4 linked regions of the Alligator mississippiensis genome follow. The protein of the gene in region 2 purifies or fractionates together with the protein of the main gene of each other region. This does not show direct contact. Links are inferred from orthologs where the notes say so. Each region holds a gene or a part of one and is shown on either strand. Other genes may lie near its edges.

Region 1 (7,137 bases), on a different chromosome or scaffold from region 2:
TCCAGCGCAGCCACTGGTTCGTGGCTCGGCCCACGCGCTGCAGCCTGCGCCGTTCCCAGGGCTTAACCGCAGCAGGCTTCCTGGCGAGAGGGCCCCCGGGCTCCTCTTCCAGCTGGGCTCCGGCGCCTCACGTTTTTCACCAAAAAAGGCAAGGGCCCAGCTGCACGTCGTGCGGGAACATCTGGATTTCATCCCTGTCAGGAGCGGGTCACGGGACGCGCCGCGCGGGGCTGGATTTACGGGAGGGGGCGGGGTGATGTCATGCACACGGGTCCCCCGAGAGCTGGCGGAAAACAGGAAAGGGGGAGAGAGGCAGCTGGGCAGGACGGGGAAAGAAGCCGCCCCTGCACCCCTCTCTCCCCCTGTGCAGCTCTTGGCCCCGGGGTGACGGGGTGTTCGAGGCCGGGCATGCCCCAGCTGGGCTTCCTGCACCCCTGCCGTGGGCCTGAGCCCTGGGGCAACTTGCCCTTCTCTTAGCACGTCCGTACGAGCATTGCTGGCCAGGAACCAGAGCTGCCGGGTTTCGCAACGGCTGGGGGCCATGCGCCAGCTCCAGACATCCCCACCTCCCGCTGCAGGACGGGGCAGACTGGCGACGGGAGGCTCGGTCCTTCTCCACGGGCTTTCCCTATGGTGGTGAAGCCCGGAGAGAGCCCCTCCACCAGCCAGAGCCGGCGGGGTGGGTGGGTGGGACGCGACTTGAGGTTCAGGTGTTCCCCTCTCCTGGGCTGGAGTCTCGGGCTGGGGGAACGGCGAGTCCGGGGTCTTATCTCCGGCTTTATTTTTAGCCAGGCGTTCATAGGGAAGAACCGAGGCGGCTCGTGGGAGAGCGATGGCACGCGATAGCCCCGGAGTGGGCAGCGTCCTCCCAGCGGAGCAGGGGAGCCCCGGGCAGGCCGTGCCCAGTCCACTTGCTGCTGCTGCTTTCATCAGCCTTAATTTAGCTGCCAGCAATGTCACGGCATGGCAGGAAAAGGCCGGATCCCTTGGGGCAGGGACTGCGTAACGAGAGGGGGGTGTTGACTGGATACCTCCACCCCCATCCCTGCAACGCTGGCCAAGCAGAAACCCCACAGCCAGCGCAGGGGGCCTGGATCTGAGCCGTTAGCAGCTGCTGGGGATGAAGGGAGCCGGGGCTGTCGCATGTGGTGGCACAAATGATTGTGCCCCCGGGGTGGACAGCTGCAACTGTGACCAGAGACTGGGAGCTGTCACATCCCGAGCAGGGGCCCTAGGCGTGTCCCTGCACCCCCAGCTGCGTGTGCCCTGAGGGACGTGGACCCACTGCGGGGATCCTCTGCAGGGGGGTGGGTGAGTCCTGCACTCATGGTGCGTGCAAGCGAGTGCTGGGAGAGAGAGGTGTGTGTGTGTGTGCAAACGTACACGTGTTTTGGCTGCACGGCACCCATGTTAGGAGTCGCTGCAATGCCCTGCTCCTCCCTGACCCCCTCTCTGCCCTTCCCAAACACCCTCTTGGCCCCTTCCCCTCCGGCAGGCACGTCCCGTGGCTGCTGTCCAGCTCCGCTCCGAGTCCGCGGCCGAGTTACCAGCCTCCCCCCTGTGACTCTGCCCTTCCCACTCCGTCTTTGTTCCTTGAGAAAGGTCGCTGTGCCTCCGCGCAGGTCACTCCTGCTCCTGCATCCAACTGGCAGCATCTCCCTGCCGCTTGTGCCACCATATATGGACAGTATTGGGGAGAGAACCATCCGCGTGGGGCTGCAGGCGGCTTGGCCGCCGGCCAGCGGGAGGGCTTCGCTCAGCTGAAACCCCTCCACGTGGCCGGGAGAGAGCGCGGCCCCCAGCTCCTGGCTGTGCACAGGGCAGGCGAGACCCCCAGTGGGGCAGGGCAGCGCCAGAGGGGCCCACACGGTGCTGGAGAATTGCAGCCCCCTGTTAACCTCCCTCCCACCCCAGCTCAGATGCCCCCGAGCTGAGCGGGGTGCAGCACATGCAGGTAGGTGGCTGCAAGGACTGGAGCAGACTCAGTCAGGAGGCAGAGCCCATCTCGGTGCATGGTGCTTGCTCGAGGTGGCTGGCACTGCTGGCGAAGCCCCTTGCTGTGGGCAGTGGGCCAGCCTATGTCAGCTTGCACCTGCATTCCCACGCTGCGCTGGGAACGGGGCCTGCTGGATTATCTGGTTCTGGGCTTGCCCCTTTCCTCCAGTTTTGCACAGTGCTGAGCAGTCAGTCTCCCCTGCAGCTGCTCTCTAACTTGCTCCCATTTCAGTCTCCCATTTCACTGGGAGTAGGGGAGCAGGACACCTGGGGAAGCCCAGAGGATAACAGCTGGCTGACCCGCCGGCCTGGGGCACATCCTCTTGCTGCTCCAGCTGGAGGGAGCCAGAGCTCAGCCCCACGAGGAGAGGGAAAGAAACGCCAAAGCCATCTCACCTTGAGAGCAGGGAGAGATTGATTGCAGGCTCTTTCCCAGGACAGCTCAAGCTTGCCATCTGCCGGAGGCAAAATAAACGCTTGTTCCTATTTCCCTATCCGCCAAAGGGGCGCGTGGCGCTCCCTTCCAGGGAAGAGCTGCCAGCTGATCATAAATGAGACGTCCCCACATTTCAAACGGCGTTGTTATTAAAGTTGTTGCAGCCACGATAGACAAGGAAATATATGAGAAGCATTTCTTTCTTTTTAAATAATACCTTTTATTGGACCAACTGTATTGTGGGGAGAGGCATGAGACCGCTTCAGGCACAAAGGGCCCTTCAAGCATCAACTGGAAATGCTGCCACGAAGGGCATGTTCCTAGCTGGCTCGTGCGCCTATCTTGCTGCAGCTGCTGCTGGGCTTCCCAGTGCCACCGCACGCACACGAGCTACTCGTCTACACGCGTGAGGCCATTCGAGCTCTCCCCGCTGCATGGGCACCGTCGACACCGCGACTCCTGACTGCCCTGCCGCTGCCGCAGCTTCCATCACCTCTTTGTGGGGTTTTCCAGTAAGCACCTTTGCACGTCAGTGCATCCCGCCGGCTACGCAGGGGCGGCGCTGCCCTGAACCATGCTGCGCCCGCAGAGCCCTGCTGAGCAGTGGCGCCGCACCGATCCTTCCAGCTCCCAGCGTCTGTTTGCTGCAGCTCCCTGCTCTCTCCCGTCTCTCATCGTAGCCTGGAAAATCCCTGGGGCAGAGCCTGGGCCCGTCCCTTCTCCAGCGCCGCTCACCCGAGCACGCGCGTCCAGGCCTGAACGTCCAGATTCAGCTTCAAATGCCGGGGGGGGGGGGGGGGGGGCACCACTGCTTTAAAAAAATATATATTATTTGTTTATGAATCCCAATGATCAAATAAGAGATTTCACGTTTCTAGATGCATCCAAGCTCCTAAAATGCACATAAGGAGAGGTGTTTATCGCCTCCGCGAGCGCTGCCGTCACCCGTCGGCACGTGCAGGCACCTTGGCTCGGCGTCCTTCGGTCTCTGCGAGTCGCTCCGTGGTTCCCGTCGCCAGGTCGCTCCTCTGCATCCTGCACCCCTCGTTATCGTTTGCTCCTCTTTTACATTTCACATTTCACACCGGGTTTCTCCGCTCGTGGGCCGGGCGTGTCGAGGCTCAGACAGGTTTCTCAGACGTCCTGGGCTGGAGCCGCGGTCTTTTTCTGCAAATTCCCCAAATTTTAACAAATTCCAAGAATCCCCCCCCCCGGTTTTGTAAGAGGGCCGGGCCGAGTCGTGGGCAGCGGTGGTGGCAGACGTCTCACCGCGCTGGACCCGTGCACTGAACCTACGCACACGCGCACACCCTTGCACGTGCTGACATATGTGCACACTCACACACATTCTGGCATTATGTGCACATGCTCATGCACACATGCTCACGTGTATGTGCACATGTGCCCACACGGGACTATGTGTGTGCATGTGTGTCCCACCCACACGCTCACGTGTGCACACCTGGCGGGTTTGGAGCCGAGCCCCTGCGGAGCGGGAGGGGGAGGGGGCTCTTTTTGCGGCGGAACCTTCGCGCCAGCAGCAGTTTCCGTCCGGACGCAATAGGACACCCCACGTGACTTCCGGCCGGCGCGCCGGAAGTGGGAGGAGGGCGGTAAACTCGGGGGCAGCAAGGAGGGAGGCGGAAGTGGCGTAACCGGCTTCCGGGCGGCAGGAGGGGAAAGCGGAAGTGGTCCGGGGCTGCTTCCGGGCGGCGGGCGGGAGGGCCAAGATGGAGACGATCCTGGAGCAGCAGCGGCGCTACCACGAGGAGAAGGAGCGGCTCATGGACGTCATGGTCAAGGAGATGCTCACCAAGAAGTCCACGGTGCGCCTGCGTGCGTGCGTGCGTCAAGGGGGGAGGGGGTCTGTGGATGGGGGGGTGTATAGTGTGCGTGTGTGTCAAGAGGGGGTCTGTGGATGGGGGGTGGTGTATAGTGTGCATGTGTGTGTGTGTGTGTCAAGGGTCTGGATGGGGGGTGTATGGTGTGTGTGTGTATAGCGTGTGTGTGTGTGTGTGTGTGTCAAGTGGGGGGGTCTGTGGATGGGGTGTGTGTGTAGTGTGCATGTATGTGTGTGTGTCAAGGGGGGGTCTGTGGATGGGGTGTGTGTGTAGCATGCGTGTGTCGGGGATGTCTGGATGGGCAGTGTGTGTGTATAGTGTGCATGTGTGTGCATCAAGTGGGGGGGTCTGGATGGGGTGTGGATGGTGTGTGTGCGTACGTGTGCTGTGTCAAAGGGGGTGTCTGGATGGGGGGGTGTATAGTGTACATGCGTGTGTGTCAAGCGGGGGGGTCTGGATGGGGGTGTGTGCGTGCGTGTGTGTCAAGGGGTGTGTGGATGGGGGTGTGCGCGTCAAGGGGGTGTGTCTGGATGGGGGTATGTGTGAGCGTGCGTGTGTATGTCAAGGGGGGGTCTGTGGATGGGGGTGTGCGCGTGTGTCTGTGGTGGGGTGTGTGTGTGTGTGTGTGTACACACCTCTCCGCCACGTCTCCCTGTGTGCGAGTGCACGCGCTGCCCAGCCGCGTCTCCTAGCTGGGAGTGAAGCCGCGCTAACATCTCTCCCTCCCTGTGTCTCTTTCTGTGCCGGGCTGCAGTTACGGGACCAGATTAACTCGGATCACCGCACGCGCGCGATGCAGGACGTGAGTACCGCCGCCGCCCCGTCCCGATGCCCGTGGGCCACCCTGGCCGGGGGGGAGGCGGGAGGGAGCGGGCACGGCGCAGCGCGGCGCGACAGGGACGTTGTGGGGATACTTGAGAAACGCCCCAGAGCGGGGCGCGGGACGCGCGGTAAAAGGGAGACGTCCCGCCATGCCTTGTGGGCAGCCCGTCGGAGTCCAGCGGCGCGCTGTTATACGACCGACCACGATGGCGCTTAAACACCCGGACATCTCTGTTTCTGAGTGTAAATGGAAAAGGGCTTGTGCTCTTCTTGCACGTGCTTTGTGTGACGCCCCAAGGTCTCTTCCCCTGCGTTCTCCTGAGGGTGCTTAAGCATTTTGTTGACCTGGGTTTGGGCAAATGGAGCGTGGGTTAGATGCGTTTACTTTGAGCCCCAGCACCTGTACGGCTGCTGTAAGTTTTGCATGGAATAGAATAGGACGGGAAGGGACCTGTAAGATCCTTGAGCCCGGTCCCCTGCCTTGGGCAGGAGGTAATCGGGCTCAAACAAGCTGAAGGAGATGCTGTTTACAGTTACATAAATATTACATTGTAGCCCCTTACTGATAAGCTGACTTCCACCGAAGAGCACAAAATGACTTGGAAACGTGATGCTGTTCCTGGAAACACCTTCAGCAGCTAAATGGACCAGTGTTGCTTTTATTGCTCGTTAATGAGCCTTTATTTGTTGGTACCAAAGGAGCAGCGGATAATTCTGTCTAATGAGAGCCCTCAAGGAAGCCTTTTCAGCTACTTTGTTGCGCGGTACTTTGTTGCAGAAGTGCAGGCAGAGCATTGACATGTAGTGTGCTCTTTTCTCAGAGGTACATGGAAGTGAGTGGCAATCTGAGAGATTTGTATGATGACAAAGATGGGTGAGTGTTTGCCAAAATGCCTTGTCTGACCTTTCCTAGAGCTGAAAGCTCTGCAGAATAAATTTCACTTTTGTGCTCTGCAAAGATCCCAAAGGAATTGATGGTATTGAAAGCCTACTTGGAACAAAAAGTGCCAGGGCTGTAGTGCATGTAAATCAGCGCACCTTTAGGGATTAAAAAAGAAGAGGTTTTGTTCTGCTTTTTCCTTCTTCTTTTCTCCATAATAAACTTAAGTTTCCTTCCTGGATTTTGACCTCGCTTGCCAAGACGGGAGGGAAACTTTTGTGTTGATTATATATCATTAACAGGGGATATCTTTGGGAATCCTAGAGCAATCTGATTAGTACCATAGAGCAGCATGTTGTTACGGAGGGCTGTTGAACACTGTCTGATCCAAAATGTTTCGTGGGGTGGGAGACAATTCAGCTGTAGCATACATTTTCTAAAGTGCCCTGTTGGAGAAGTAGTGGCTTGATGAGATTCAGTTAGTGAAGGTGCACAAAAGGTCAGGTTTATTTTGCTCTCCTGAGAAGTCAGTCAACCCCAAACAGAGAGAATTGTAGTCCAAAAGCCAACAAAGTGGTTATGTGTGGGTGCTAATAAAACTCTCCGGGTTCATTTTAAGACCTAGTATATTCAGGTTTTCCAGAAAATCATACACGCCAGTGGCATCTGACTTCTGTGTTTGAACGTTTTAAACCAATGCTCTGGGTTTACTGCCGAGCTGGGTTCTTTATCATGTGAAATGGATGTGTTTTTCTTGGACTAGACCCGAAGGCCCGTAACTGGGGAGCACCTTACCGCATTATAGGTGACCAGGAGAGCTGGACTCCCAAATCCAAACCTTTCCGAGTATGAGATCTCTGTGCAACTGTTAAGCGTATGAAATTTAGTTGAGGGCAGATGGCCGGTTTTGGGGGAATCTTTCGTGTAATTGTGAGATGAAAAGAAATGGGATCAGCTTTGTAGATGCTCCTTATCCTATCCTCTGTTGCCCTCTCATTTGATTCAACTTGTTTCTTGCGGAACCTCAGGTTACGGAAGGAGGAGCTCAGCGCCATTTCGGGGCCAAATGAGTTTGCAGAATTCTATAATCGGCTGAAGCAGATCAAAGAATTTCATCGGAAGCACCCAAACGAGGTCAGTGGCCCTGCGCTTTGTGTGGGGAA
Region 2 (7,651 bases):
TTTTCCAGGTAAAGAGATTTAAAGATATTGGGCAAGTTGCTGCCAAAATTTGGAAGCAGGAGTTCATGCTTAGTTTCTAGTATAATGGAATCAATGGCAAAGTCTGCCCTGTATGGTTGTATTGTTGAATTGCTCTTCAGAAAGTGAAAATACTTTCTTTTTAAAATACAGTTTTGACTTTTCTTGCTAATAAACTTAACCACTTTTGGAGTTTTCTTGTGCACAAATTAGAAGGTACTTGCTTCACAGCTTGCAAGAAGAGGAGGTTAGACTAGAGCTTTGTGGTCAACTATTGTAACTTTTTCTGCTGCTCCTTGTCAGGCCTGCATAGTATCTAGTGAACCCAAGAGCTTGACTGAGATGGATCTGGCTATGTTTGAAATGTAATCTACCTAAGAGAGAGGTGCTATCAGTTGGCTGGTTACATAGCTTCTTTCCCCATTACTGAGAAATGTATTCTCATGATGTATGCTGCTGAGGAGTCCTTCTTGACCTGTATTTGCTTCTGGTGTTCTGGGTGGTGTTGATAGCAAGGACTGAATTTTCCCACAGCAATTGCTATCTGCCCCCCCCCCCCCCCCCAAATGTAAAACATTGACAATATCATCCAGGCTTTCTGATCTCTAGGTTAAATTGCAATGATGAACAGTATATGGAGTTATCTTTTGAAGATGACTCACAAGCCTTCGGTTGTGCCCAAGCTGCAGTGCTTGGTAAAACGGACTGTAGGGAGCACATGACATCTTTGCTTTAAACAGTAGGCTGGTTTCCTATTTATTTCCTGGAACAATTCAAAGTGTTAAGTATTCTTATTGGTAAAGTTTGACAATTTAGTTGCTGTAAATACATACAAGAAACTGCTGCTCTCGTCGCTGCACTTGTTGACATCAGTCGATTCGCTTTTTTGCTAATATATTTGAACGTGTGGGTTTGTTGTCATATTCTTGATAGAGGTGCTTGCCTCTGAAAGTAATTTCCTCTGTTGATATGACAATCCTGTAGGGATTTTGTGTAGGGTCCACTTATTCAGTTAGAGCTAGATCCAAGAAAGGAATTGCATATAGCAGCCCTGATTGTTAAGGTGCTGAGCATAGAATGGAATCCAGAACCCAGTGTTAGGAATGTTGGTTCCCTATACAGTATAATGGAAGACTAGGGCTGGTCTGGAATAGGTCTTGTGGGAGACATGGTTGAATATTCATTCTCCACCTGAGTCCAATGACCAGCTCCTGATCTGGAAGTCTGCCAGTGATGCTGCACTGGGCTAGTCCCCGGTACAAGGTGTTAGATCTGCTAGAGACAGAAGGCTTAAGAGCAGGCTCTGATTATGTCAGCTTTGTGGACAGACAAGCTTTGGGGCATCTCTGTAGACCCGAGTGGTTGGTTGGATGTGCTCAGTCCTGCCCTCCCTAAGGCCTGCTACAGATACAGTACAGACAAACCCCAAGGCATTTCCAAATGACAATCTCTTAGTGGCCTCCCAAACATTTCATTCCTCTGCATGGTGGCCCAGCTTCAACAAGGTAGGTGGAGAAGGTTTCCACCCAGCCTAGCTGATACAGAGAGAAATAACTAGCTAGTTCTACACCCTGGGCCATGGTACCATGTGGTGAAGGGCAGCAGCCAGAAGTTTGCTGGGAGGGGGGGAGGCAAAAGGGGCAAGTTAACCACCTCTGATGCTTCCCTTTCTCTCCTGCAGCACCCTGTTTCTGCTGGCTACTTACTGCCTTTGTACCATATCCTATCAACCCCATTGCTGCTGCTCTGCCCCCTTGCTGTTGGAACCAGAGCAACTGCATATGAGGGGATGATGAGTACTGTACCCCCCAGCTCCATTCCAGTGTTCCCCCCTCCTGACTCCTTTTAGGCACTGCCCTTGGCTAGTGCCCCATGTTACCCTACTGCTGATATCTGGTCATTGAAGTGATCTGTTTGGAGATGGGAAAAGTGAGTCTGATCACCCTCAGGCTGAAGAAAGATTTGAACTTACTCTTTTACTTCCTGGGTAAATGCTCTGCTATGCTATCATATAAAATGTTGGTATTTTTTTCCTTCTCATGCCATGTTTTAAAAATAAAGTACTCAACTGCATTTGGTGAAGGAGGTTGGTTTGCTTGGTATGCATTGCCTGTGCTCTGAGTATGGCCTAGCAGATTGGGACCTTCCAGGCATGTAGGCATCCAGCTCCTATATTCTGATCAGGGGAAGGCAAGTGTAAGTGGTGTTTTGCTCAGATTGGATCTGTGCCCATGCTCAGAGGCATAATTTTAAGCGCTTACAGGACTTTCCAATTAAATAGGGAGGTGCCTAGTAAGGTAAGCAGCCACCAAGTGGGGTTGTTTTGGGTTTAAGCATCTTGGTCCTTCTTTGGATCTATTTCTTAGACTTCACTCTCGCAAATTAGCATATTTTAAATAAACAATAAGACATTTGTATCCAATACCAGGGGAGCCAGGGTGCTTAAAGTAATATAATCACACAGATTCAGCCTGCAGTTCTACATCAACTTGATACAAATCTCTTACAGATGGTTTATTGTGGGAACTTTAGTCTCCAGAGCTGCATTTCAGAACTGAAGTAACAGTTTAAACCAAACTTTCAGGGCTTTTTTGATGGTTATAAACGTTTTAATAGTTTTAAATGTAAAGAGTTTTGGTTTGGGTTAAGCATTTTCTTGCCATGGAAACAACCCACTATAGCACTTCATTGTCCTTGTGTTAATTTGAAACTTGCTAGAAATTTATTGAAAGGGTTATGAAGCTGACTAATCAATCTTTGATTAGGATGAAAAATGGCTTTATTTTGGGTATGACTCTATTCTTAAAAAAAAAAAAGAGAGAATAAAGTGAAATGGAAAAACTGAAGTTTAAGTCATTTTAAAGTGTGTGCATATATAGATGCATGTAGGTCAAAGTATTTTTAATTTTTTTTTTTTTTTATCAGCTTCCTTTGGAAGATGAGGATGCATAGAATATGCTCAGTTTTGGGCATATCTGCTGCATCATTTGTGCTTCTGGTCAGTAGTAGCATCTTACCAATAGTCTCATTGTTACCTGGTCCTCCCTATCTTTCTGCCTGGTTACTGTCTCAAGTCTTGTATTTAGGCCTGATCCTGTGAAAAATTGCATGTGTTTAATTACTTCAATGTTTTCAGGCAGATAAGGTTCTGAAGGCTTCATGGTTTAAAGAATTTCAGGATGAAGACTTCAGATTGTAAACTGTTTGGGCTAAAGCGGTATGCTTATTATTAGGAATCTACACAAATACAAGGGAGTAGGGACCTTTATGTACTACCACAGTGTAACTAATGCAGCGCAAGTAATAAATAATGCTAATATGGCCTTTGGTTGGTTAGTTAAAATTTAGAATTATGTCACATCCACGTAAAGCCAAGATCCAATGACCCCAGAAATAGATATCCCAGTGTTGTCTGTAAGCTTGAAAGTTTGCTAGACAATAACTCTTAATAGAAACTCAGAATCTTGAGCGTCTAAATTCAAGCCCATAGGTTAGTAAAAAGTGTTCCAAGTGGGGGAGCCGAGCAGAGCAGTGACCAGCACCCCCCGGGACAGTGTTACTTACAGTATTTTATTTAATTTGATATCTTCAAATACAAATAATTTTCTATTACAGTTATGCTTAAGACCCCTGAGTCCCCCCTAGTTCATAGTGGAAGACAATCCCAGGCCTGAAGAACTTCTTGAAAAGATATCTCTATAGGGTGTTATTTATCAGTTCCAGACAGGCATAACTCCCCTTATTCAGCAATATGACCGTCCCCATGGGGAGTCATGCCAACGTAACAGTGGCTTTAGTCTGTCTCTTGGGCCATGCTAATACAGGATTTGCCCTGGTGGCTTGGAGGCACAGTCTTTTGCCAACACAGCTGCACTGGCAAAAGCCCAAAGCCCCCAGTTACACTGCAAAGCTGTCTTTCTCAGTACAGATGCTCCACAGCTGGGAGGTGGGTGCCGTCTGGTGCAGCACACCCCGCAGCTTCGCTGTCAGGGCTGTGCCTAGCCCGGGGGCGCTCTGCAGGCCTTCCTGGCTCCCTAGGCGCTTTGCAGTCCGCGTGACCTACGCTTGCAGCGACACCGCCTTCTCACCGCTCGGAGGGACACGGGCGGAGTCAGGGACTGGGCCCTGCCCAGTGGGGCCCTGGGACCCGAGCCCAGGCGCCCTGCGGGGCTTTGCTGTGTGTTGCAGGGCCCGTGTTCTCCTGGGGGTGCCGGGCTCTGCTCCGTGCCCCCTTTGAGACCCTGCTTAGGAGCCGAGGAGCATCACCCGCTTCCCTGGGCTCTTCCACGGGCTGCCCTAGGAGAGTGCAGAGGCCTCGGCCCAGGGACAAGCAGGTCGGGCCTGCGCTGCACGTGCCGTCCATGCGGCTTGACCCCCACCTCCCTCTGGGGCACGGGCGGGCAGCTGCAGCCGAGGCCCAGTCCTGGCGGCCCTCAAGGAGCCGGGCCATGCTCCGGGCCCGCCCGCTCTCCCTCGGCCCCGGCGAGTGGCGGGGCGGGCGGAACCCGCGCGGCGGGGCCGAGTTCCCGGCCGGCGCCAGCTCTGCGCACCGTCCCCCCCGCGCGCGCCGCCAGCTCCAGTGTCTCGCGCCGCCCGGGCGCTTCCTTCCGGCCGCCATTTTAGTCGCTGTTTCTGGCCTCGCGGCGCGGCTGCTGCTGCTGCTGCTGCCGCCGCCGCCGCCGCCTGAGGAGCGGAGCCGCCGCCATGTCCAAGCGCCACCGCCTAGACCTGGGGGACGACTACAGTTCCAGCAAGAAGCGCGCCGCCTCCGACGGGTGAGGGCAGCGGTGCCGCGGCGTGTGGGGACCCGGCCTCACGCCTGATCCGCCCGGGCCCGGAGCCGCGCGGCGCCTCCTCCCGGCTCTGCGGCTTCGCCCGCGCTCCGCGGGGGGGAGGGGGCGGCGCTCCCCCCCGCTCTGCCCGGCTGGCGGCAGATCCCCCTCGCGCTGCCTTGGGTGGTCGCTGCGCCTGTGTCGGCGGGAGCAGCCGGCCGGGCCCCGGGCCAGCGCTGAGGGGGAAACGGGGGCTCGGCCTCGGCTGCCCCGGGCCCAGCGACGCGACGGGCTTCGCCGCACTTTCCGGGCCGCAGCGGGCGACCGCCTCCTTGCCGCGGGTCGGGCCGGGTCGCTCTTGCCTCAGGAGAGGAGTGGAAACGCTTCCCTGCGCCCTTGGCGGCCTCCTCGTGCCCTGCTCGGGCTCGGCCGCTTGCTCTTGTTGTGTGGCCCCGAGCCCCAGTGCGCTTCTCGTCTCCTCCAGTATGGGGCATTTGGGACCTCCCTGAATTCACTCCATTCACTCAAAGTTGGTGCCTGAACTAAGGCACCTCTAGAGAAATAGCCAGTCGCTATCCTTGACAGTGTCTAGTTATGGGAAATGCAGCCCAGGCTGGTTCTCCGAGATAAATGGGGTTGTGGTGGTGTTGCTGCATTTAAAAAGGGAGGTGTGGGGGAGGGACACAGCATTTCTCAGATGAATCCGCTCAGCTTCCATGGCTTGGCGATGCCTCTCTGCTAGAGCGAAGAGCCCTGTTACCAAGTTCCTGGTTTCCATGCGTAAGTATTTCTAGACCCTAACCAGTTGCACCTTGAAACTTCCGTTTGTTCAACTGAACAGATTGGGTTCCTTCACTTAATTGTCATAAGGCATGTTTTCTGACGCTTTCCCCAAAACGTCCTCTCTTTCAACATTCTTACTGACTTGTAGTACTGGCGCTCAATGGAAAGGTAATCTAATTTGTCTTCTCCACAGTACTCCTTGCCTAGACATCCCAAGTGATCATAGTAACCCCCTCTAGTACTAGGAGTTCATATTCGTGGGGTTGTCCCACTGTGATTCCTAAGTCTTGTTGAGAGTCTCTGCTTTCTTATATAATCTCTTATCTTGAGGTATATCCTAAATCCTGGTTTTCTAGATGTCACCTTAAGTGTGGCAGTGTTAGAATGTGGATTGTTTGCCTGAATCCAGCTTATAAAAAGATCCAAAATGTTCTGAATCGGTGTCCTGTTTTCTTCATTATTTATCACTCCTTTGATCTCTGTCATCCACAAACTCTGCCTCTGGTAACTTTTTTTCTTTCAGATCACTGGTCGAAAATAGCCTAGAATAAATCGCTTAGCAAGTCCACCAGGAATGCATCTGCTTGAGAATTCTCAGTTATGATTACATTTTGGCACCTAGCAATTTTTTTAGTCAATGTAATGTGTGTTTGATTTAATTTTATTTTGTAGTAAATGTTAGTAGTACCAACTCAAGTATCTTATAGAAGTCTAAAGGCTTTTCTGCATGAGCACTCTTTTGCACCAACTTTCTGTATGCCACTTGCATTACATGAAAGTGGACACTGGTACCCAGTTGATCATCTTCAAAAGTAGAGTTAGTTACACTGCAAATAGGATTATCATGTTTTACAAGGGTTTACACAGGCAGTGGCATGGAACAGCTAGTGCAGTTTACAGTCACACTGGAGCTTATTTTGCAATACCTTTCTTGGGTGGACAAATCCCTGGTGTATTACATCAGCACTTTTGCATTTATTAGCCAAACTTGTCAGGTAAAAAATGATAGTGTTGTCCTTTTTTAATTCTCATTTGTAATTTGGGTTGTGTATTGGCTGTTCTATTTATTTTACTTGAGTTTGATGTCGGGTTGGCAGGTTTAAAATTGCCTTGATCATCTTTATGTATGTATGTATGTATATGTCTCTTGGAGCTTCCTAGGGTGTGCCAGTTCTGCTGGGACCAAGCCCGAGGTTCCAGGCTAGAAGGTCTAGCCCCTCCGCTCATGGTCTAACTGACTGTCATATTTGGGGTCAGTAAGGAATTTTACCTGATGGTCAGATTGGTATGGACTACAGGGTTTTTTGCCTTCTTCTGTAACAGGGCCATGACCCTCTACCCCAGGATCTGTTGTGCATATGTTGACAGCATTTCACAGAAACAGGACATTGGCTTCCATGGTTCCCCTGCTTTACCTGTGGCAGGTTAGGATGTTAGATCTGTGTTGTTGCATTGGGGTTGACAGTAATCTTATGTAGAGTTTAGATTATGGATTGTGTGAGATGGTTTGGGTAGGGATGGACTAGATGGCCTCTGGATGTCCCTCCTGGCCCTGCTTCTCTATGATTCCTCAGTGTTTCAAGCCATATTGAAAACAACATTAGGGGCCCACAGAGTCCTTTGGACATCTTACTTGGGTGCACATTGCCTGGTGACCTGTATCTATTAATTTCAAATGTCTCACTTCAGTAGCTGCTGTTTGTTGTCATCCAAAGTAATTGCTGCAGTGGAAAGTGTTTCATCATCTGATTTAATACCAGTTTACGTTTTTGCATTATCATTCACTTCACTACCATGTCTAATTATGAATAAAGAGGTAGTTAGCCATGTTAGTTTAAAGTCAGGTAAAAGGCAGCCCAGGATGACATCTGCCTTTTGCATGAGTACTTTAATCATAATGGGCCATTATTAGATTACTCTTGTTCTTGGTGTACTTAAACTTTTTAAATAGCTTTAACTTTGGTGTTTGGTCATTGGATTTCCTTGTGTCTTTGCTTGGATTTTTTGTGTGCATGTTGGAGGTTTTGCTTTTTGTTTCTTTTATGTGCTTCCCAAGTTCTAGTTTATTCTTTTTTCTC
Region 3 (7,298 bases), on a different chromosome or scaffold from region 2:
TCCTAGGCATGCTCCAGGCAGGATTAGCCTCCCCTCCCCCTCCCAGGGGCTCAGGTTCCCTTCCAGTTCCCCCCCAGGCCCTGGCGAGGGCTCAGTCAAACCTGTTCTACCAGGTGGGGGCGGGGCTGAGCCGGGTGCCCCCATGTGGGCAAGGGGGATGATACAGACGGGAGCCAGGTAAGGGCTCCCTGCCCCCCCCCCCAGCCCTGTGCCCACCTATACCCAGAGCACAGTGGGGGAGGGGGAGGGGGAGGGGGGGAGAGGCTGGGAGCCTGGATGCCTGGGTTCTCTTACACCTTGGGGAGGGGAGCAAAGTGGGGTAGGAGTGAGGGGCACTGATAGGGATGGGGGGGCAGAGGGCTGAGGGTCAGGAGTGGTGGGTACCAACAGGGCTGGGGGCAGGGGGCTGCAGGTCAGGAGTGAGGAGGGAGGAGGCAGGGGGCTGCGGGTCGAGAGTGAGGAGGGGGGAGGCAGGGGGTTGCGGGTCAGGAGTGAGGAGGGGGGAGGCAGGGGGCTGTGGGTCGGGAGTGAGGAGGGGAGAGGCAGGGAGTGAGGGGCACCGCAGGGCAAGGGGCTGCATTCCCCTACATAAAGAAGGCTTCAGCTGAACAAAGAGCAGCTCTGAGCAGAGGCCCAACAGCAGGAAGGGCAGTAGGGCAGAGTGGGCGGAGATGGCTCAGTGGGAAAGGGGGGGGCGGCTCTGGGGTGGGGCTGGGGCACAGGGCCTTGGCCCAGCTCCAACCTGCTTGCTGTATACCCCAGAGCCCAGGCCCCCGTGGGCTGGGAAACCCAGAGCCCTGTAGAGCATCCACAACCAGCGAGGGCCCCGCGGCCCCGGCTGCCTGTAGGACTCTGCTCCTCCCTGAGCCGCGATCGTGTTTCGGGTTGGGATCACACAATGGGCCCAGTGTGCAGCCCACGTTCCCAGGGGATGCCTGAGCGGTCCAGCGCCGTCTTCGCCTGGGAATTCTCCGCCCACCCGGCCAGGCCTCCAGGGCGATGGGCTCCCGGCTCCCGGCTCAGGGCTCAGACCCGTGTTGGAGGGGGAGGGGGCACGGAGGGGCTCATGGCAGAGGCAGAGCCCTGAAAGGTGGGGGTGTCAGGCCTCCAGGTATCCCACACTCCCTCTCTCTGTACCCCAAGGGCTGCCAGTCGCTCTGGTCTCAGCTGGAACTCTAGTGCCCTGGGAGGCAGCTGCATGGGGGGTAGGCAGGGAAACTCCTCATGGCCTGGCCGGCTTGGCCCATGGCCTCCAGACAGGCTCTGTGAAGTCCCATCCAGCCCAGCCCATGCCCGAGGCCCTGTCCCAACCCCCAGATGTGTCCCTGTGCTATACAACAGCCCCAGGGTGCAGCGACAGGCAGCACCTGGGTCCGAGTCCCATCTGCAGCCTGGGGCAGCCTGGAATAGAAGCAGGGAGACGCTGTGCTGCAGCCGCTGTCAAGATGGCTCCCACGCCTCTGCAGAGCTGACACCAGCAGTGCAGAGGAGGCCCCGGCCTGGCCGGTGGGGCTCAGCGCTCAGGCCCAGCCCGGCCGAGATGTCTCTGCACATCGCGGCCCCCGATCAAGGGCGGCTGAGCCAGGCTCTGATCCAGGGCTGCTCCCTGGGCTGCCCAGTGCCCAGTTCCCACATCCCGCCCACCCCTGCCTGCACCCCCAGCTCGTGACCCCTTGGGCTCCAGGCCTCCGCTGGCTCCTGCCTCTGACCCTGGGTCACGTCCTTGAGACAATGAGCTGATTCAGGGGGTGGCAGGGGAAACTGAGGCAAGGGACAAGAGGGGACATTCCCACTGGGGGGTGGCCCAGATTGGGGGTGGGGGCGCTTTTATACCAGTCTCTTATCCGCCCTGGCATGAGCCAATCCCGCGTGGCCACACATCACCACTGGCCAATCCCATGCTGGCGACCCAGGGCCACACACGCACATTCCAGCCTTATCTGGTGCTGGGCCCCAAAGCTCCTGCTGTACCTTATCTTGGGGCGGCTCCTTCCCTAGATGACAACATCCCCCCCGCCCCCCCCAGCTGCCCCCGCCAGGCACCAGTTGGACCCACAGGCAGCGTCCCACCCTCGTGATCACTAATGAAGTCATTAGCCAGCTGGGCTGAGCCCCCAGCCCGGTTAGGCAGGGCTTGCTCAAAGGCGCCCCCAGAGCTGGGTGCCCCCCAGAGCTGGTGCCCCCACACCTGTTATACTCTGCTGCCGACTCCCCACCCTAGAGCCAGTCGTGTCCCGGCACCGCCTTTCCGGTGAAGACAGAAAGCGTGTGGCTAGTGCTGGCTGGAAAGGGCTGTCCCGCTCCGCGCTGAGCACCCAGCACCCCAGGGTCCTTCCAGAGCGGGGTGTGGGGTCTTGCTTCCTGGTTTCTCTGCCCCACTGGGGCCAAAACTGCAGTCTCCACGGGGCAGGGGGCGGATGGCCTTCCCTTCCCACCCCAGGGGCTGCTTTCATCAGCCCTGGACCAGGAAGCAGGAGCTGTGGGTTCAAATTCCTGCAGAGGCTGCAATGTGGGGCATGGATGGGGCAGAGTTAAGGGCAGAAGGTGGGGCTCCAGCGCCCCCTGTGAGCTGGGGCTGCCCTGTGCCCACCCCCCTCAGAACTACAGGTCCTAGCATGCAAAGGCACTGAGGACTATGACTCCTAACAGGCAGTGGGGGTAGTGCCAAGCCCTCATTGGTGGCTCTGGCAGCTTGAAGGCTAGCCCAGGAGGTGATGTCACCGCATTGCTAAAGCACTTGTCACCTGCTGTTGGTGCTCACTGCCGGGCAGGAGGCTGGGGGAGGCAGAGGCACTCTCCCATTACCCACAACCCTTTGCATGCCTGGCTATGCCCACCCCAGCTCACACCACCCCCAGGAGCCTGTTATGCCCCCCCAGTACCCACAATCCTTTGCATATCTGGTAATGCTAACCCCCAGGAGTTTGCTACTGCCCCCCAATAGAGCCCTGAGACCCAGCGATTACCCAGGGCTTGGGAGATCCCCACGCGCCCAGTGCAGGGGGGGGGGGGCAGTTCCAGCTGTGTCCTCCCCCAGCCCTGGCTCAGGCCCAGGTCGGGTTCACCTCCTGCAGTCCACACCCTGGGGGTCTGGACTTGGGCTCTCACCCACAGGCTGGGCTGTGGGGAGGGCACCAGGGCTGGAGACCTGGCAGCTGGTTGGTGTGTGGGAGGGGGAGCAGATCAGGCTGTGCTGAGCTCTCCCTGCAGCGGGCGCTGTGGAGCCAGGGTTCTTGCCACCACGGGGTATCCCGAGGGCATGGCTGGGTCATCATCCATCCCATCACGGGAGACCTGGCTGCAGGCCCCATCCTGGCCCCGGGTGGAGGTGCTGGGGAAGTGTGACCTGAGCGCCCAGAGCCATGCCCCCTCACGCCCCTTTGCGGGAGACACAGGACTTGTGATCGTGCCTCTTGTGCGAGCTGAATGAGGCTACATGCCTGCCCCTTGCACGTGCTTGTGAGCACCTGCCTCGTGTGAGCCATGTGCGAGCAGGGCTGTGGCTCTCCCGTGCGCTCCTGATGGGGCCTGTCATGAGAGGAGAATGCAGCCAGGCGTGTGCCCCTTGCGCACGCTTGTGAGCACCTCCCTCGTGCAAGCTGGCACGAGGCTGTTGCGTGGATTTGGGAATGTGTCTCTTGCGTGAGCCGAATTTAACCAGGCGCGTGCACCTCATACACGCTGGCGAGCACCTCCCCCGTGCAAGCTGTGTGCAAACTGGCACGGAGCTCTTGCACAGACTTGTGAACACGTCTCTCGTGCCAACCGAATGCAGGAGGAGGGAGGGGGTCTGGGAATGGGGGGGCAGGAGGAGGGACAGGGTCTTGGGGGCAAGGTGGGGGGTGGGGCGGGGGTGGGGAAGGGGCTGGGTGCCCTGGGGGAGGGGAGGGGGGCATTGGGAGATGGGCAAGGATGCGGGAGGGGGCTGGGGGGATTGGGGTGGGGTTGGGCAGCGGGGGAGGGGCAGGGCTGGGCGAGTGGGAGGGGGCTGGGAGGACTGTGGGGAGGGGTTGGGCAGTGGGGGAGAGGAGGGAAGGGCGTTCGGGGGGAGGAGCAGTGGACGGGCCGTGGGATTGGGGGCGGAACCACCCCCGCACATGCGCACACGCCACGAGCCGCGGGTGGCCACCCTCCCGCCCCGTCCGCGGGGAAGCGCATGCGCGGCGGCACCCCAGCCGGCCTACAGCTCCCATCCGGCCGGGCGGCACTGCCCTTGTCCCTGACGTCATCGGCGCGCGCCCGCCGGAGGTTCTGTCGCGCACCGCCTGCGCAGTGCGTGGCGGCCGGGTCTGCGCGCGGCAAAGATGGCGGCCGAGCACCCCGAGCCGCCCGCGGCCGAGCTGCCCGCGCCGGGGCCCGCGGCCGGGCCGGGATACGCTGCCTGGGCCCCCGCCGAGCTGCAGGCCCGGCTGGCCGAGATCGGCGCCCCCACGCAGGGTCAGGAGGGGGAGGGGGTGCGGCGGGGCCCGGGGCTGCCCGGGAAGGAGGGGGAGGGGGAGGGGTTACCCCCGGGCCCCGCCGCTCTGACCCGGCCCGTGTGCGCAGGTAGCCGCGAGGAGCTGGTGGAGCGGCTGCAGACCTACACGCTGCAGGTGAGCCCCCGCCCCCGCACCTCTCCAGCACGTGAACATGGGCTGGACCCCACCTGCCCGGCAGCCTTGGCCAGGCCTGGGGGTGGGCAGCTAGGTGGGGGAAGGGGGCACGAGCCTTTCATCCCTGTAACCCAAGCCCTGACGCCTACACCTGTGCCCTTGCGCCCCTGCCCTGCCCCTCCCGGGCGGGTGGAGGAGCACAGGGAAGCCACCGTGGGCCCCCGAGACCCGTCCTGCCCCTGCTCACCCTGTGTCCTTCCCTCAGACGGGCATCGTACTGAGCAGACCGGTCCTGAGAGGAGAGGATGGCGACAAGCCTGCCCCGCCGCCGCCACGCACGGGCCCGGTAAGGAGGGTGTCGAAGCTGGGCGGGGGGGTCCCTGGCACAGATACCGACGTGGGGTGCGAAGCCTGGCCCCGTGGAGGAGCCACAGGAGGCCGTTCTGTCGCCTCGAGCCCCTCGGTTGGGTGGGGGGGCGTCATGCTGCCGGTCTGTGTGCTTGGCGCCGACCCCCCACCCAGAGCTGGCCGCATCCAAGTGAAGAGCGAGAGGCCTGAGGAGGCAGGGCATGGGACACCAAAATGAGCAGCTGTGCCAGGCATCCTGAGCCCCCCCCCACCCGTACCCCCCTTCACCTGGGCTGGCTGCATCCTGGTGAGGGGCCTTCCCGATGCTCTCCCCAGAGCCAGCGACATCCCAGTCCCAGGTGAGAGGTCCTGGACCCTCGGTCCTGATGGCCCCCACTCCCGCTTCCCCAGAGCTGGCCACAGTGTATCCTCAGACCTGGCTGTGTCCCACTGTCAAACAAGGGGTCCTGTATCCCCAGAGCCAGCTGCATCCCGGTGCTGGCTGAGGTATCCCTTTCCTAGCTGGGATGGCCACCCTAGAGCCAGCTGCATCCGAGCGAGGGGCCCTGTATGTCCAGCGCCACTGCCCACCCCAGAGTCAGCTGCATTCCAGCAATGGGGTAAGGGGACCCGAGCCCCAACTCCCTGCCTCAAGCCAGCTGCATCTCTGTTATATTCAGTCCCCAGCATCCACCCCACAGCTGGTTGCATCCTGGCAGACAGCCTGTGCTTTCCTTCTTACCTGTCTCTCTTGTTCCCTCCACAGCTCTCGGGGATCCCGATGCCCCCTCCACCGATGGGGATGCCCATGCAGCCTCCACCGCCCCCTCCCCCGCCACCAGGCATGGGCCTCAATTACTCCATGGGGGTGGGGCCACCCCCGCCACCTCCCATGGGACCTCCCCTGCGTGTCCCCAGTGTGGACCCCGTGGCCCTTTCAGAGGAGGAGCGCCTCAAGCTGGCCCAGCAGCAGGCTGCCATGATCATGCAGCAGGAAGAGCGGGCCAAGCAGGTCAGCTGGGGGCTGTGGTGTGGGGGGGTGGGCTGGGGGCTACAGGGAGCAGCTGTGGGGCTGCTGTCTTGGGTGGTTTGGAGAGGGGCATTGTTGGTCAGGAGGGCATGCGGTGGGTCTTTGGCTTGCTGGGGTGTCTGTATCTTCAGCCCTGCTCTCCTAGTCTGGAGCTGGCCACATCTTGGGGCCGGGCAAGGCGCCCTGTATCCCAAGCCCCAAAGCTTGCCACATCCCAAGTCTGGGCCTCATATCCCCAGCCCCGACACTTGCCCCAGAGCCAGCCACATCCCAGGGCTGGGCGGAGGGCCCTGTTCCCCCTGAGCTCTGGATAGGATCAGACCCAGCTGCCCTGCACTTTGGCACTGCTGTGGGCTGTGGTCTTCCATCCTGGTGCCCCCAGCCCTCTCTTCCCCCAGTATACTGGTGCCTACCCATTCATGCCTTGTTCTCTCACAGGGGGACAAGCTGAAGGAGCAGGAGTTGCTGGAGCAACAGAAGCGGGTAAGTCTCCCGCGGCATGTACTACTGGGTGGGTGGGGTAGCAGCACGGTCTCTGGCATAAATGATGCATGCCCCTGGAGACTGGGGGGGACACGGGGACTGCTTGCAGGCAGTGGGGGCATGGCAGCGAGCGGGGAGCTCCTGCAGGGGGCGGTGGCATCAGCGGTGATTGGTGACCGCCCGCAGATGCTGCTGGCAGTGTTGGTGGCAAGGGGGGTGGGTGGGGAGTGGTGACCACCCACAGGTGCCTCCGGCAGCATCAGCAGAGCTGCTTTCAGGGCGTGCACCACCAATCCCAGGTGCATGTGCACCCCCTGTGCATTACCAATGGTCTGTGGGGTCCCCTTGCCCCCTTTACCAGCCTCATCCCAGCTCTGCCATCAAGCTGTTGCCACACACTGAGGTCCTTGTCGAGACAAACCTGTACTCCGTGCGGGACAGAGATATCTGATGGTACTCAGGTGCAGAAAGAAAGCAGAATACCCTCTTTTCATATACCACATTCCCCTGGATAAGGCTGCCCCCCCCCCAGTTGCCCAGGTTACAGGTAACCTTGCAGGTTGGCTACTGATAAAAAGCAGAAATCGGTCTGCAGCTAGATATTTTTTTGCTTGCACCTGGAAACACAGAAAAACAAACGCTTATCCCTAAGTCTGGCTGGCTGCTGTGACAACACACCATAGGTGCCCACCTGTAGGGAGAATTGAGCTGGAGGGTGGCATGTAGGTTGGCAGGACTTGAATTTGCTGAGCTCTACAGGCTCCCCTTTAGCTTACGCCCCACGTCTGTAGGTGGCTGGTTCTAATATTCCAGCAAATGATCTCTGATTGGTTTTATTTAAGTTT
Region 4 (7,879 bases), on a different chromosome or scaffold from region 2:
CACTGTCACAGTTTTAATTATTAACAAGTGGAGGAACGGAGCTAAAGGCTCTAGTCTTCACATTCTCTGAATCATGAAGTCTTGTAACTTTTTCAGGAATCAGTTTTTCCCCCTGACAACATAGAAAACTTGTTGGCAAATAAAGTATTTGTAACAACGTGACTTATTTTTCCCTGTGACTTGCTCCAGATTTGCCCTATAAAGTTGACTTGCGTTGAGACAGGAACTTAAAAGGATTAGGGTGTTCAATTTCCCTATAAAAAACTGAAAAAGTGTGTTTTATCATGTGACTGTTTAAGGATGTGGCTTTTGATGACAAACACCGTGCTTGTTTACTAAAGCTATACACCTCGCCCCTGGTGGTTTCATAAGCATCTACCTTGGTTCTGCTGAAACTACCGCCTGTTCTACCTGGCTTCTGCTTTCAGCTAAGGTCTGAAAGGTAATTCTGTAGCTCTGTCTCTTCCTGCAATTTCCCTACCTTGATTAATGATTTATGAGAGATCATTTTGGGTTCATAATTACATAAAATCATGAAGAATGAGGATAGGATTCTGACATTTTGCACTTTTAATGCAACTGAAGGTAGTCTGACAACAGTTTTTTCCCCGTTTTGAAGGAAATATGGTAGATATTGCATCTGTGTAGGGGGTGGACTGTTTTTGAACCAGGTTTTTTGGCCTTGCCTCCCTGGCAGAAAACCATCTTACAATGGGATCCTGGCAGAGTAGATGCAAAGTTCTTGCCCATTGGATGTTGACCAGGTATCAGTGACCAACTTAATAATGGTTTGGTGCTTTACAGAATGTTCCTCCCTCCTTATTCTCTGGATGGACTATGGTAGAAGAGAGGGAATGTTGTGATTCCTTCCCCTTGATTATTTACAGCAGTGGTTTTCAGCCTGTGGTCCTCAGCCCCTTGGGGGTCTCCAGACTGTCTAAGAGGCTTGCGAAAGATGACTGTGACCAGTCAAAAGTGCGTGAATACCCACACGTACAATGCAAAGGGGCCCACATCTCCATTTGAAATGTTTAGGGGTCCACAAATGAAAAAAAAGCTTGAAAGCCACTGATATATACAATTCTCTGTAAGTTCAAAATCAAGCTCGTTCTTGGCGTGTTGGTGTTTATGGAAATTACTGGTGTAATATCTTTCTTGCTGTGGCCCAGAGGAGAGAATGGTGCTTCGGGGGAGTGGGTCATAGACGCTGTTGGTACAAGTAAACAGAACTTAATTGATCTCATGGAGTTGTCTGTCGGTGCTAGTATGGAGTCTAGACCTGGAAGTCTAGTCTGGAAAAGCCCGTTGTAGCAAAATAGTTTCTTTTAAGCAAAGCTTTGGGCATGACACTCTTCCCAAGTAGTAGTCGAGTTGGAACTGCTTTTGCACCCAGTATGAAGACAGACCTTGTGTTTTAAGAAATCCTTTTGACATCTGAGTGCCATTTCATAAACAGAGGGATGATATGGTTGTTAAGACACTGGACTGACTCTAGCACAGACTTCCTGTGCAACTTTGGGCGAGTTGTTTGGGCTGAGATTTTTCTGAGGGGTTAAGAGATTAGGTGTCTAGTTACATTGTTTTCAATGGGATTTGGGTGCATAGCTCTTGAAGATCACTGACAATTTTAATTTTATTCTTTGTGCCTCCATTCCCCATCTATAGAATGGGGATAATTCTTCCCTACCTCAGGGGTGCTGTACTGGGATACTGCAGTGATTGGGGGATGGTGGGGGAAGCATAGAAATGCATAAAGCTATCTCATTCTCATGTCTGCTTTTCCTGGTGTGCCTACCACCATCGTACTATCTTAGTACTAATGTGAATCATCCCTTTGAGGAAGGCACGGTTCCCATCTCATTTTCTTCTAGACTAGAGACTGCCTTAAACACCCTTGGGCAGCTTATTTCCTGAAGCATGCAGCTAGGTCATTTCATAAGACCTTTCTGAGGCAGCAGGACTTGGGCTGACAGGTCAGGTGTGTATTGGCAAGTGAGGGCAGGGCGCTTTCCAGAGAATAAATACCTTGTCGGACTCCTGCAAATTCCACCTGGGGCTTTTGGCTTTCTTATCTCCTTTGAACAAAACTACTGCAACGTGCAGTGCAAGAGGTGGGGATTCTCTCCGGGAGCCGGGAAACAGGCCGCTGAAGGCTCTGAACATGACAGTGTGGCCTTTGGTCATGCCTCATTAGTTTAGAGTTTATACTCAGCAGGGGTTTTGTTGTACAATTACATCTTAATGGAAAGAGTTAAGGGACTTGACTCTGGTTCAGGCACTCAAGGAGACTCCTCACCAAAGTCCCAAAGCAATAGAGCCCACAGTCAGGTAAAGGAAGTTTCTGATATTGTTAAAACTTGTATTTTAATCTTAAGCCTTTCAAGATTTTTGTTTAACAAGGTGAAACATTTGTCTAGTTTTAACATGGTTTGTAAACTAGTAACACATTTAACTCTGTATATAAGCCTGTAGAAAGTATGAAAACACTGGAATAAAAAGGGCATATGTAGACAATCGTATATAATGACCCTAATATTAAAGGAAAGGTGGGGGGAATACTTTTTTTTTTTTTTTTTACCTGTAGTACACCTTTGGAGTACCATAAATAAGTGGAAAAAATAGCAATCTGGGGAACTTAGCTTAATGTTTTACAATATTTTTATTGTATAATTCACTACCAGATGTTTACATAGAAGAAAACGGATACAGGTGTGTCTCCATAACTAATGCATGGACATTTGCCAAAGGTTGTAATTGTAGCTATCTCCTGAGTCCCAGAGCCTGTCTGTAACTACATTGCAGAATCACAGAATTGAGGAATCTTTTTCCCAAAAATGTACTAGATACAACCACATGTGGGTTTTGCAGTTGTGCTGAGCTCATCAAAGAATTTGGTGCTTCTTATCTTGAAAAGTTCTTCCTAGCAAGTTCAGCTATGACACCAAATGGTAACTAGTGGTATCCTTATCTGAGTCTGTCGAACATTGATGCGTCTTGTATAGTTATCTAGAAGAGCTGAACAGTGACTGAAATCGAGACAAAATTGTATTCTTTTAGCTTAGGGCTCTTGCAAAAATGACACTGGTCAAGTTAGATCAACTCTGGGTGACCAGCAGATCAAAAAAATTAGTCTTTCAAAAGTAATGAGAGTCCTGATCCACTTCTCTACTGTACCTTAAACGCAGTAGAAAAGCTTGGTGTTTCCTGTTCTCTGTAAAACGACGTGTCTTTGCACTGTTGTAAACGGGTTTGGGGGTTTCTATTTATTTCTTTTGTGTTTTTTGTTGCTAGGATAGCTACGTGGTGGCTGTCGCACCTGGTAAGGTAAATAGATATATGTAAATCACGGGACTGCAATGAAACGTTGTGTAAATATTAACCGTTCGTACTTGGTGCACAAGAAAAGGTTTCATTATATGTTTTCCCCATGCTGACACTTCATGGATTAATTTAATGTATAATTAGAGTATCTCTGTGTATTACCAAAAACTTGCTTATGAGATCTGGCACTCGGAATAGAAAAGAATGTGAATTTGCAACGGAATCTTTCTGGTTCTTTCTTCAGCCGCTTTACCCTGTGCTGTTGTGTGTCCCGTAGCAGAGGATCTCCCTCTGCTCACATCCGTGTTTCATGGCTGGTGATGCTGCAGGCACCCCTCGGGATTGTTGTGAGAAACTTAAGGATGTTTTGCCCTTTAGCTAGGCGGGTCAACACTCGAATCCCTGCCCCCGAAGGTTCATATGTGGTACCCAGCCACGCTGGTGCTAGCCGCAGATGAGGCAGGGAGCGCGGGTCTGGGAACAGAAAGCGGAGTGGCGGTCCGTAAGGGTGTAAGGCTTAACTAGTGGTACGCTTAGCAAAAAGGCTGGCTCCCTCCCCTCTTTAACTGGAGCCAAGTTCCTGCTGGCCCCAGAGACTGGATTTTCAAGTACTCTGTTACCAGAGCGGGGCATTCAGCAAGGTATTTTTCAAGCTCTCACAAGGAGCAAGATGGTCTGTTTTTGGAAGAAGGAGCAAGGCCTCTACGGGACGGGAGAGAGACGGCGCTGAGACCCCCGGGCCTGGCCGCGGGCGTGGCGTTCTTCTGTGTCTGCCAGAAGCCAGGATGAACGTTAAAAGCCGTAACAACAAATGCGATGGAGAAGAGAATGACCTGTTCCCCTGCAGCCCTGAGAGCTCGAGTACAAAAGGATGCGTCCGAGACTCTGAAACGAAACCGGACCAGTCCCCTTGAACTGTAGGAGGTAAGGAAAGACCTTTAGCGAATAGAGAGAGAGGGGGAGGAGGGGCTCGGGTGCCGGGGCAGCTTCCCTGCCTGGGCTCCGCGCTTCCTCCTCCTGGACCGGGGCCGCACGGTCCGGCTTCCTGCGCCCGCGGCTGTGGAGGAGGGGGAGGGCTGCGGGGCGGGGCGGGGCGGCGCGGCGCGGCGCTAGGGCTGTTTTCCGTTCCCGTTTGTGCAAGCGCTGCCGCTCCTGGGGCGCTGCCCTGGCGGCTCCCCGCGGCTCCGGGCGCTGCAGGCAGCGAGGAGCAGAAACGCGAGTGGGGCGCAGGGGGCCGGGCCGGGCCGGGCCGGCGTCCGTCTACTTCCGAAACGGGGACCCAGCCCCGCCTCGCGCATGCGGTGCGGACGGGACGCCCGTGACCAGGCCCGCCTTTAGCCCGTGCTCTGTAACGTACTTCCTGGACACGTGCACGCCGCATAACGGCCACTTCCGCAGCACCGCGCGCGCAGGGGGGGCGGGGTGAGGCCGGGGCCAGGGCCGCTCCGCACTTCCTCCCGGGGGGCGGGGCGCGCGCGGAAGGCTGTGCGTCGTGACGCAAGCGTGGGGCGCGCGGCCGTGACCTCGTTTCCATAGCGACGGGGCCGTAAAGCGCGGCGCCCAGTGCCGTCAAGCCTTTCGCGGCACTTCCGGCCGCTGAGGCCTAGCGGGATCGTGGGGCTGCGGCGTCTCGTTCCCCGCCGCCGCCATGGAGATGCCGTTGCCGCCCGACGGTGAGGGGCGTGGGGGCTGCGAGGCGCTCGGGGCAGTCCTGGTGGGGCGGGGCGGGGCGGGGCGGGGGTGGCCGGGCGGGCGGGCGGGCTGTCGGGGGTGGGGTGGGGTGGGGTGGGGCGGGCCGGGCCGGGCCCGCGAGCGCGGTCGAGCCGCCCTGTTTGTGGCCGCAGACCAGGAGCTGCGGAACGTGATCGACAAGCTGGCGCAGTTCGTGGCGCGGAACGGGCCCGAGTTCGAGAAGATGACGATGGAGAAGCAGAAGGAAAACCCCAAGTTCTCGTTCCTTTTCGGCGGCGACTTCTACGGCTACTACAAGTACAAGCTGGCGCTGGAGCAGCAGCAGCGTGAGTGCGGCGGGCGGGGCCGGAGGCGGGCCCTGCTCGGGGGCGGCTGGCGCACACCTTCCCCCCCGGCGGGCGCAGCCTCGGGGGCGCGGGCGCAGCTGCGCGGAGCTGGCGCTTTGGGCCCTGTCTCAGGCGCGCACCCCGTGCTGTCGCGCCCACTGCCTCGCCTGCCCTGCGCGTCTTCGGAGACGCCGCGGCAGCTCCGCGAGTCTGAAAACGTGCCGGCAGACGTACCCGTGCCGCTTCTCTGGAAAGCTGGTTTTGGCCTGACCAGAGCGCTTTACAAACGGAGCTGAATTAAACCGCTGGGAGCGCATCACGGTTCGACCTGCCCTTTCCTGTTAGGAGAGAGAGAGGGCGGTTTGGCTTATGGAGCTAACGTGGGAATAGTCTGTGTCTTTGGGGTTGTACATGGTTTTAAAAGGGCTTTTGTCTTTTATCTTGAAAGTGAGTGTTTTCTTCCTGTCAGTGTTGTGCAAACAAACACAAGATATTGAAACCACTGCACAGATCCAGCCTTTGTCACAGCCGTCGCTGCCCCCGCCGGCTGCTCTCCCAGCTCCTCAAGGGGCGCCCTCGGTCGAGGAGCTCATTCAGCAGAGCCAGTGGAACCTGCAGCAGCAAGAGCAGCACCTCCTTGCGATGAGACAGGTAGGCTTGAGGCGGCTCGTGAGCCCCGCTGATGCGCCAAGCGGCGGTTGTGCGGCTGCAGGGTTGCATGGCTTGGAACGATGACCCGAATGAGGAAACTTAGTGTCTTGCCAGAGGAGGACGATGCGAGCTGGCATCACTTCATGTATGGCATCAGCTGCAGAACAGAAAGAATAGACTCCGTAGAGCAGAAGTAACTAGCCATTGCTTTGCTGAGACCCCATTTATAATTCGCCAGGAGTGTGAAGACCACGGTGGTCCTCCATAAACTGGAGCGAGTTGCAATTATCTTCAACTTTGACATGGTGCTGTGGCTTGTCAGGACTGCATCCAATTCTGGGCTCCACAATTCAGAAAGGATGTGGAGAAGCTTGAGAGGGTGCAGAGGAGCCATGCACATGATTAGAGGTCAGGAAAACGGACCTTATGACGAGAGGCTGAGAGCCACGGGACTCTTCAGCCTGGAAAAGCGCAGGCTCAGGGGTGATCTGGCGGCCTCCTTTAAGTTTATCAGGGGTGACCAACCGGATCTGGCGGAACGTCTGTTCACCAGAGTGCCACAGGGGATGACCAGGTCGAACGGTCACAAACTCTTCCATGACCGTTTCAGGATGGACGTAAGGAAGAACTTCTTTACTGTCCGAGCCCCCAAAGTTTGGAATAGGCTGCTGCCAAAGGTAGTTTAAGCACCCACTTTGAACACCTTCAAGAGAAAATTGGATATTTATTTTGCTGGGATTCTATGATCCCTGTTGACTTCCGGCCCCTGTGGCAGGGGGCTGGACTCGATCTTCCGAGGTCCCTTCCAGCCCGGATGTCTATGAAATCTGTGACTACACACCCAAGCATGACATGCTGCGTTTTTTATTTAAATACTGATTTGGGGCTGAGATGAAAGGTTGTTCACAAAAGAATTACTTTGGGAGCGATGGTTCGTTGTTAAAGGTGCAGGGTACCTACCTCACTAAAGGTTCTCTGGAGAAAGAGTATGGGCTTATGTTAGGCCTTCAGCAACATTTTAGAGGCCCTTATTTGTTTCCTGATAGAGCAGGGGTGCACAAAACGTGGCCTGCCAGGCCATTCTGTCCCACAGGGCCCCTAAGAAATTAAAAAACTATATATTTATCTGCCCCTGGCTGCCTGTCATGCAGCCCTCAATGGCTTGCCAAAACTCAGTAAGCAGCCCTCCACCAGAAATAATTGCCCACCCCTGGGCTAGAGCAACTGGGAGGTTTTCTCATGGTAGACCAGGGAAAGGCGACGGTGATAACCAGCTGAAATATAGCTATGCTTCTCCCACTGTGAATAGAAAATACGGCCTCTAAAGGTATTAAGCCGCTCCTGTGGCTAAAGTGATTTGAATGTTTCTGTTGAGTTTTTATGCCCAAAGAATATAGGGTGTATTAAAATTCAGCTTTTTTTCAGGAACAAGTTACATCAGCAGTAGCCCTTGCAATTGAACAACAAATGCAGAAAGTCTTGGAGGAGACCCAGCTAGATATGAATGAATTTGACAATTTGCTACAGCCGATAATTGATACATGTACAAAAGACGCAATCTCAGTAAGTAAGCATCTAAACTTATCTGTACGTTCCGTGTTTGCCTTCGGAGGTGACTCGCTCTCGCTTGTTATGAGCGCAGAGGCAGGTAGTGTGAGGAGATTGTTTTAATGTAAAAAGATTGGGCCGCTGTTGTTAATTCCACGTGGTGTCATAAACTGTCTGTTCTGTTCATGGGCAGCTTGTTGGCAGCTCTTCAGTGCACAGTGACAGCCTGTAACCTGGACCACCAACCTTGAGGCGTTGAAACAGCAGATGGGGCGGAATTGCTACTTAAAGATACTGTCAGTCCCTAGTTCATAGTACAACTGGGAAAGCTCACTAAGCTC

Evidence for each region.
Region 1: the proteins of DHX15 (region 2) and SF3A3 fractionate together in Homo sapiens (co-fractionation; 3 studies listed by BioGRID and IntAct, with this or other methods). This does not show direct contact. The link is inferred for Alligator mississippiensis from reciprocal best matches to the Homo sapiens genes DHX15 and SF3A3.
Region 3: the proteins of DHX15 (region 2) and SF3B2 purify together in Homo sapiens (co-immunoprecipitation; 3 studies listed by BioGRID and IntAct, with this or other methods). This does not show direct contact. The link is inferred for Alligator mississippiensis from reciprocal best matches to the Homo sapiens genes DHX15 and SF3B2.
Region 4: the proteins of DHX15 (region 2) and CHERP purify together in Homo sapiens (co-immunoprecipitation; 3 studies listed by BioGRID and IntAct, with this or other methods). This does not show direct contact. The link is inferred for Alligator mississippiensis from reciprocal best matches to the Homo sapiens genes DHX15 and CHERP.

The regions. Positions count from the first base shown.
Region 1 is NC_081829.1:1,211,992-1,219,128, reverse strand, and holds the start of SF3A3 (splicing factor 3A subunit 3), read left to right. Parts: upstream 1-4,132; 5' UTR 4,133-4,161; coding exon 4,162-4,257; intron 4,258-5,026; coding exon 5,027-5,074; intron 5,075-5,915; coding exon 5,916-5,968; intron 5,969-7,002; coding exon 7,003-7,108; intron 7,109-7,137. UniProt on the Homo sapiens protein: Component of the 17S U2 SnRNP complex of the spliceosome, a large ribonucleoprotein complex that removes introns from transcribed pre-mRNAs.
Region 2 is NC_081825.1:39,040,074-39,047,724, reverse strand, and holds the start of DHX15 (ATP-dependent RNA helicase DHX15), read left to right. Parts: upstream 1-4,644; 5' UTR 4,645-4,722; coding exon 4,723-4,793; intron 4,794-7,651.
Region 3 is NC_081838.1:5,518,944-5,526,241, reverse strand, and holds the start of SF3B2 (splicing factor 3B subunit 2), read left to right. Parts: upstream 1-4,281; 5' UTR 4,282-4,304; coding exon 4,305-4,437; intron 4,438-4,545; coding exon 4,546-4,592; intron 4,593-4,857; coding exon 4,858-4,938; intron 4,939-5,706; coding exon 5,707-5,952; intron 5,953-6,408; coding exon 6,409-6,453; intron 6,454-7,298. UniProt on the Homo sapiens protein: Component of the 17S U2 SnRNP complex of the spliceosome, a large ribonucleoprotein complex that removes introns from transcribed pre-mRNAs.
Region 4 is NC_081839.1:375,295-383,173, reverse strand, and holds the start of CHERP (calcium homeostasis endoplasmic reticulum protein), read left to right. Parts: upstream 1-4,862; 5' UTR 4,863-4,969; coding exon 4,970-4,994; intron 4,995-5,165; coding exon 5,166-5,339; intron 5,340-5,808; coding exon 5,809-5,990; intron 5,991-7,415; coding exon 7,416-7,553; intron 7,554-7,879. UniProt on the Homo sapiens protein: Involved in calcium homeostasis, growth and proliferation.